Linked DNA regions of Callithrix jacchus. The protein of the gene in region 1 interacts with the protein of each later gene in a biochemical or structural test. Links are inferred from orthologs where the notes say so. Each region holds a gene or a part of one and is shown in the gene's direction. Other genes may lie near its edges.

Region 1 (4,529 bases):
CCCCGTATCCTCTGGAGGTGCCTCCAGTCACCTAAAGAGACATCTTCATTGTGGCTCTCAACTCATGTGGGCTGTAAATTGCTGGAGAGAAGCGCTTTTTCTTATGCATTCCTTTCAAGTTCCCTCGGCAGGGACTACAATGAACCATCGCGTTATGACGCTGAAAAGTTCATCTCTAAAAAGCGATCCTAATTTAGTTTGATGAGCCTGACGGCGTCCCAACAGCGAAGTGCCGGGCACATAAACGGATGTCCAAAAATATAATTATTATAGGAATAAAAATTCACGCTGGGTGCAGTGGCTCACGCCTGTAATCCCAGCACTTTGGGAGGCCGAGGAGGGCGGATCATTTGAGACCAGGAGTTTGAGACCAGCCTGGGCAACATGGCGAAAGCCCGTCTCTACTAAAAATACAAAAATTAGCCGGCGTGGTGGCGCGCGCCCGTAGTCCCAGCTACTCGGGAGGCTGAGGCAGGAGAAATGCTTGAACCCGGGAGGTGGAGGTTGCAGTGAGCCGAGATCGCGCCACTGCGCTCCAGCCTGGCGCCTGGTGACAGAGTGAGACTCTGTCTCAAAAAAAAAAAAAAAAAAAAGAAAAGAAAAAAGAAAAGAAAAAATCAGCCAAGACTTGGAAAAAGAAATAAAAAAGGAAACTTCATGCAACCAGTTACAACTGGGCACCACTCACCAGATACTACACTAAGCTGGGGTTAGGTGCTGAGCAAAACCAGGCTCCTCTCTAGATGGCTCTCTAGGTCCCACGACCATGGCTTTGGTGACACCGGTAGCTGCGCGCTCCACAGGCTGTCAAGAAACACTCAGGAAACAAACATTGAAAATACTCCGTCTGTGGGCCTTTAGGAAAACCGAGTGACTTTTTTCGGGAGGGGAACCCATCCTTGTAAGCATTCGCGGAAACGGCAGTTTCATTACCGCGAGGAAGGGTCCCCTGAGTGCGTGCCCCGTGTGAGTCCCAAGCTGGACGGCCATGCCCTGCCACCCCGTTCCTTGCAGCATCTGCAGGCGCGGGAGGAGGCACTGCTGCCCAGCTGGGGCTTTCCGACTTTGGGGAAATTGAGGTTGCTTTCCCTGGCTCTGCGCAGCGGGGCAGCGCTGTCCACTCACTTCCCCGCCCACACGCCCTTGCCCTTTTTCCCCCAGGTAGGCAAGGGTCTACGCGGGTCATAACGGGAAGGCCACGCCGCCCATGGTGAAAGCTGCTCCCGGGGAGGGCGTGCCGCCGCTGCCATCTGGCTGCCCGCGCTTCCCACACCCCGCCGCGGGCGCAGCGGACTAGTGGAGTAAAGTCAGGAGATCGATCGAGAAGAATCTGGAAGAATCCGGTTAGACAGGGAAGCGGCCGGGGGTGGGAGGGAGGAAAGGCCAGGGGAGATCCCGAGTCCGAGGGTCCCAGGAGAGGGGAAGGGGTGCCGGCAACCAGCAGGAGGCAAGAACAAGGAGAAAAAAAAAAATCCGAAGCGCCCGCAGCCCGAGCCCGAACGGGATCAGCCCCGCAGTCTCTAGAAAGTTCTGCACCCCGCCCGCTCTGTCCGCTCTCCGGCTCCTCCCAGCCCCTCCCTCGCGGCGGGGCGGGACCAATCGCTCCCCGAGCCGCTCCTGACCCACCTACCCCCGCTCCCGCGCCGCGAGCAGAGGTGCTCCAGTCTCTGAGCGGTCCGCAGTTAGCGCCGTGGCGCCTGGCCTCCCGCACGCTCCGCAGGTAGTACCCCCACCGGCTACCCAGAGTGCGCTCGCGCCGGCGCCAGCTCCCGGAGAAACGGCTCGCCGCCCGGAGATGACAGCCGAGGAGATGAAGGCGACCGAGAACGGGGCGCAGTCCGCGCCGCTGCCGGTGGAGGGAGTGGACATAAGCCCCAAACAGGACGAAGGCGTGCTGAAGGTGAGGGAAGGCGGGGTCTGCGGGGGCGACCGAACCCCGGGCCCGGCGGGCCACCCTTCCGCCAAGCCGGGAGCCCGCGGCCGGGCGCGGGTCGAGGCGGCCGCCTCTGCAACCTTGTGGCGGTTTCGCCGGGGGCCGGTGGCATCGCCGTCCCGGACCGTGATGCGTCGTTTGGGGCACTGAGGGTGGCCACGCGCTCGGCAGGGGGCGGCCTAGGTGAGCCGGCCGAGGCCCCAGGCTCCCTATCCCGCGGCGCCCGGGCCCGGCAGGGGGTCGGGATTGCAGCGCCCACCTCGGCGCGCGCAGGGCGGCGGAGAGGGGCGGGGCGGCCGCCGCGGGCGCTCCAGCTGCAGCCAGGGGCCAGGCCGGGCTGCTCCCACGCCGCGCCGCCCCCTATCCCCCGGGCTGCCTTGTAGGTGGCGGTGCCAGGGCTGGCCCACCCCGGCTGTGGAACATAGGCCAGGACGGGGAGCGACTCCCCACAGTGCTTTCCTGGCCTGGAGGCCTTTGTGTGACGCAAGCGCGACAGGGTTCTGGCGCCCTCCTGGTGTCCCCTGCCGACACCGGGACCCTGCGAGGTCCCCAACTCTCCGCGCCCCCTCCCTCGCCCCCCCGGGGAGGCCGAGCGCGGGGAATGCCGGGAGCTGTAGTTCCCCCCCCCCCGCGCCGCCTCCCGGAGCCCGTCTGCGGGGTGTGGGGTGGGGAGGAGGCGCTCTGCTGTGGAGCCCGCGGCCGAGTGACCGCTCGACTACAAATAGCCTGGGGAGCTGGGTGGAGGGCATCTTGACCTGGGCCAGGACAACCTGCCATGGGTCGGAGCAGGTTCTGGGGAGAGTCCGGAGATGGTGAACTCGCAGCTCGCATCTTATGCCCTCTCCCTATCCGCTGCTCCTCCTCATCCTGGCTTCCCACCGTTGAGCTCCGCGTGTGCGGCACCCGTCTCAGGGGGCCTTTACCTGGTCCAGAAGTGCATCTGGCTTGGCACCAGATAACTGGGGACCTCGAGTGCCTGATCCAGCGACTGTCCTGTGGCATGTGGCTTCCCCTTCTCGCTCCAGCGTCCTGCTGTTTTCTATGAGATTGTTATTCTAGGAAGGATCATTTCCCCCTTTGATCCGCCATTCCTTCCCTTTTACCTTTCTACTCCTCAAGGCCCCTTTCCGTTCTTCATGGAAGCTTTCCCTTAGAGGGTAACCACACACCTACCAGGTGGCGCTAAAGAAGCCTGTAGTTGCTGGGAAATACTCCAGCCTGGACTTAATCAGGAATACTCAGCTCCGAAGTCAGAGTTCAAGGCCCCAGGGAGAGCCTCCGGGTTCACCTATAACCTGGTTTCTTCCTTACCTGTTTTGAACTGTTTCTTTTCTCTTCACTTATACTCCTCTCTTTCTCCTGTCTCCAAACCAGACCCTGATCTGATGACCACTGGCATGAAGGAAGGAGGAGGAAGTATGGCATAAATACTTCCCCATTTGCCGATGATAATAATAATCTATTATTCAGCCCTTTACTGGTCTAATCTTCCAACAGCTGTAGGAGATAGGGATCATCATCACTGCTTTACAAATAAGGTGTGGAGAGTTTTAAGAACTTATCCATACACCAGAAACTTGAACTCAGATCTCTCAGTCTTTTGTCTCTTTTTCAAACCAAGTCTTGCTGCACCTCAAGAAAGACAAGGTTAGTTGACTCCTAGGCTAAGCTGCTAGTAACCGAATCTGGAGGGACAAGTAGGCAGAGGAGGATGGACACAGAGAGCTTCATTTATGTTCCTGGAGGCTTGCAGACAGTGTTGGTGCCCCTTTCCGCCCCCACCCCTGGGGTACTCACTTTCTCCCCCTTCCTCCCAGGTCATCAAGAGAGAGGGCACAGGTACAGAGATGCCCATGATTGGGGACCGAGTCTTTGTCCACTACACTGGCTGGCTGTTAGATGGCACAAAGTTTGACTCCAGTCTGGATCGCAAGGACAAATTCTCCTTTGACCTGGGAAAAGGTAGGCGTGGTCAGTGGGCTGGCAGGATAGGTTTGAGGTGGACACAAACTGTCACAAGCAGAAACCATTTTCTCAGGACCAGGCTCAGGGAGGAGTGGTTTATCACACTCTGTTACTCTTTCTGTCACTCTTTTCCTTCTACCGATCTGTAACTATATTGATCTATGTCTTCTCTTCTCATCACCTCCCAGCACCTTACTCCAGCTTCAAAGGTGGACTGTCTTGCATCTTAAAACTCTTTTTTTCAGGGTCAGGTGATCTTTTAAGAGTTCTGAGACCTGGTAACACTTAATGCAACCAGGTATCTCACCTTCTGGTCCCATTTCTAAAGGATGTCCAGCTTCCCCGTGAGTGTGGTTCAGTAACTCTCCAGGAGCACTGTGTGAGCCCAGAATCAGAACCCTGCTAAGGTGATCCTGTTTGCCTCTATATCTGCAGGGGAGGTCATCAAGGCTTGGGACATTGCCATAGCAACCATGAAAGTTGGGGAGGTGTGCCACATCACCTGCAAACCAGAATATGCCTACGGTTCAGCAGGCAGTCCTCCAAAGATCCCCCCCAATGCCACGCTTGTGTTTGAGGTGAGTGTCCAGCCACTGAGATCCAGGCTAAAAGCCAGGCCTTATCTCAGCCC
Region 2 (3,811 bases), on another chromosome or scaffold:
CAACCCTGGAAAGTCTGTGAAATGTCATAGGCTTCACTTGTCTCATCTTCCTATTTAAGAGACTATTCTGAGCTCTTCCAAGATAGGAAAGCACACTGTTAGAGTCCTATAGATGGCAGTGTTTGCTCTATTTTGAAAATGTTTTTACAGGTCATCATCAAGAATATGGGCTGGAATCTTGTTGGGCCTGTCGTTCGATGCCTTTTGTGGAAAGAAAGAGAGGATGATGATAAAAGAAAAGTTTATTTTTTGATCCTTGATATATTGGTAAAGGTAGGTTAACAAAACCAGGTTCTCTTTGTCATAACACACAGCAATGTTGTATAATTCCCTTTAATGTTTATTGTTTGGTAAAAAGCTTTTGGTTTATGGAAGTACATGCAGAAAGGAACTCATTGGAGAAAAGACTCTGTCTTATTGATTGGATAGGCAATTCCATTTCAAGATTTCCCAAATTTTCTGGATATAAAAATTGTCTAACCTCATATTAACCTCATATCAGACCCATTGATTCAGCATCTCCAGGGAGAGACCTGGGAAGCTGTATTTTAACAAGTAGCCTTATTGTATAGATGTGGAACACAAGGTTTAGAGGTAGTTCAAGGCTACATTTATCTTTCGGCAACATTGGATCTAGAATAAAATCTCAGTCCTCTTGCCTTTGTGGTATGTTCCCTAAAAGAAAATGGAAAGCCTAAAATGCAAATGATTAAAATGGAAGTAGGAATAGGGGGTAGTACACAGAGCAGTTGTGACTAACAACCTTAGAGACCCTTGGTAAAAGTCTAGTAGAGTTTAAAGTCAATATCGATGGCTAAGAAAGATTAATTCTGAGAAAAAGGATATTATAAGAAACTGCTTAGTGATCAGTGCAAATATACCCAAATATATATTTGGAAAGAGCTCCATCTGTATGAATTATTGACTGCGGGAGCTGGGAGCTTTTAAAAAACCAGGTAAATGAGATGTTAAGATATGGCCAGTTAGAAAGCAATGCAGAGTTTTACCTGTTCAAGAAATACAAAAGAGATTCTGGACTAGTCTGTGCTTACAGCATGGGTTTGGGAGGTCCCGCCTGGTGGAGTCCCTGGGAATCTATTAAGGCAACTTCCAGAGTATACAGGTGAAACTCAAAGGACTTACAGCATGGGATTGAAAGGTACCACCTGGTGGAGTCCCTGGGAATCAATTAAGGCAACCTCCAGAGTAGACAGGTGAAACTCCAAGGACTTACAGCATGGGTTTGAAAGGTACCACCTGGTGGAGTCCCTGGGAATCTATTAAGGCAACCTCCAGAGTAGATAGGTGAAGCTCAAAGGACTTACAGCATGGGATTGAAAGGTACCACGTGGTGGAGTCCCTGGGACTCTATTAAGGCAACTTCCAGAGTAGACAGGTGAAGCTCAAAGGACTTACAGCATGGGATTGAAAGGTACCACCTGGTGGAGTCCCTGGGACTCTATTAAGGCAACTTCCAGAGTAGACAGGTGAAGCTCAAAGGAAACAGGAGCTTAAAGATCCGTTGACTTCTTATTTCTTTTTACTTTTATAGTTTTGACCATCATAGATTCTGTGTTTTGCTAGTGCATATTTTTAAACAATTGTATAAATAATTTTACTGTTAAGCAAAAAAATAATTGTATAACATTTTGCCAATATGTGCCTTCTTAAAAATAGTAATAATGTGGCTTTAAATACAACTTGTATTAAACAGGTTCAATTGTGAATATTTTTATAGTTATGCAGTCCAAAGGAATTATTGTTGGGTTTGCTTGAACTGATTGAAGAGCCCTCTGGAAAGCAGATATCCCAAAGTATTCTTCTTTTGCTTCAGCCATTACAGACAGGTAATGAGAATTTTGATATCAGAGTACTTCTTGTATCTCTAAGTGCCTTGATGGTTACACGAAAATATCAATACTACACCAAAGTAAAGTTTACAGCTAATTAGTACTCTTGCTAATTCACATTAGCAAGGCCAATGTGAATCCTGCTGCTCATAGAAAAATTACAGTATCTGGCCGGAGTGAGTACCCTATAAATACTCTGTTGAATGTCATTGTATTTTTTGTGTGCTACATTGAAACCTACACCTTTTTGCCTAACCTTCCTATCTGCTGCTTAAATCTAGAATTTTCCCTTTAAACATATTTAAAGGATACCTCTGTGGTGTCTACAGTACTAAATCTGATAGCATTATGGTAGTCCAGAAGAGTATCAGGCAGGGCATTGCTCAGCCTCTGCATTGGGAGGTTGGATTGGACATAGCAAAGGTAATGCTGAAGAATGAAATTAGAAGATGTAGGAGAAGACTCCATGGCTGAGTATAGTAATAATATTGGTAAGTAATAGGTCTTGGCAACCAAGACAGAGAGTATCCATGGGAAGAGGTTATTTTTCAGGAAATATGTGAATCTCACAATCTGTTAGAGGGACCTATCAGATTGTGAATCAGAAATTAAATTTGCTTTAAATATGAATGCCTACCAGCTTCATACCACCTGTAATATTCAGTCTACTAGAAAAAAAAAAATTGAATAACACCACCTCCTATTTGTGTAGTGCTCTGTAGTTTACAGTACACTCATATCTTGTGTTTACAGCAACCAAAAAACATGGTAAGAACATGTTTCTGTCTTAAGTAAATAGTCTGTTATAACCTAAACATTTCATGGCAAGGTGCTCTATTATTTTATGCACAACGGAGAAGAAAAAACACTGCCAGTTAAACTGTGATGTGCCATCTTGATTTCAAGACTTGTTCAAACGTGGGAGGAGGAAGTGTCTTATAATTCCACATTTGCTGAATTTCTTGTCTCATGTTTAGCATACTTGAAGAGTGACAACTTGATCTCTGTTTTAGTGATTCAGAAACTTCATAACAAAGCATATTCAATTGGATTAGCATTGTCTACCCTTTGGAATCAGCTATCTCTTCTTCCTGTTCCATACTCAAAAGAACAAATACAAATGGATGACTATGGCCTTTGTCAGTGTTGCAAGGCCTTAATAGAGTTTATTAAGCCTTTTGTGGAAGAAGTCATTGATAACAAAGAAAACTCACTGGAAAATGAAAAGTTAAAGGATGAATTACTGAAATTGTAAGTATATTTTTAAGAACATCTCATAATGGACTTAAATAATTGATAGTTCAGTTGTTTTATGTTTCTTCACCTTGTTTGACATATAAATAGAAATCTAGTTTCAGATTTTGAATTTTAGAAGCATATGGGGTTCAACTGATACAGCATGGTAACTTGAGACATTTATATTTAAAAAAAGTATAGGCCAGGTATAGTGGCTCACACATGTAATTCCATCAATATGGGAGACTGAGGTGAGAGGATTGCTTGGGACCAGGAATTTGAGACCAGCCTTGGCAGCATAGTGAAACCCCCATCTCTAAATTAGCTAGATGTAGCGGCATATGCCTGTAGTCCTACTACTTGGGAAGCTGAGGCTAGAGGATGGGTTGAGTCCAGGAGATGAGGCTGCAATGAATGATGATCGTGCCACTGCACTCCAGCCTGAGCAGCAGAGTAAGATCCTGTCTCTAAAACATTAATTAATTAATACAATAGTTATAAAACCAAAATCCATTCATTTACTTGATATTCTTCTATGTATTGCCTTTATTCATTATAGTAAGTGAATAATGAAAGCAAAGGAAATAGATACATATAGCTTAGGGTAAGTGTGGGAAATACATATATGTAGCTCTGTGGAGAAGGTGTTTTGTACACTTTCAAAGAAAGCAGCAGAAGGACCACCAGACAGAACATCCAACTTGACCACAAAAATAGTAATAACA

The links.
Region 2: the proteins of FKBP4 (region 1) and GLMN form a complex in vitro, tested with the Homo sapiens proteins (2 studies listed by BioGRID). The link is inferred for Callithrix jacchus from reciprocal best matches to the Homo sapiens genes FKBP4 and GLMN.

Annotation. Positions count from the first base shown.
Region 1 is NC_133510.1:16,108,918-16,113,446, forward strand, and holds the start of FKBP4 (peptidyl-prolyl cis-trans isomerase FKBP4), read left to right. Parts: upstream 1-1,651; 5' UTR 1,652-1,795; coding exon 1,796-1,900; intron 1,901-2,568; exon of another isoform or gene 2,569-3,580; intron 3,581-3,750; coding exon 3,751-3,895; intron 3,896-4,333; coding exon 4,334-4,476; intron 4,477-4,529. UniProt on the Homo sapiens protein: Immunophilin protein with PPIase and co-chaperone activities. Component of steroid receptors heterocomplexes through interaction with heat-shock protein 90 (HSP90).
Region 2 is NC_133508.1:130,015,306-130,019,116, reverse strand, and holds part of GLMN (glomulin), read left to right. Parts: intron 1-150; coding exon 151-273; intron 274-1,738; coding exon 1,739-1,847; intron 1,848-2,863; coding exon 2,864-3,101; intron 3,102-3,811.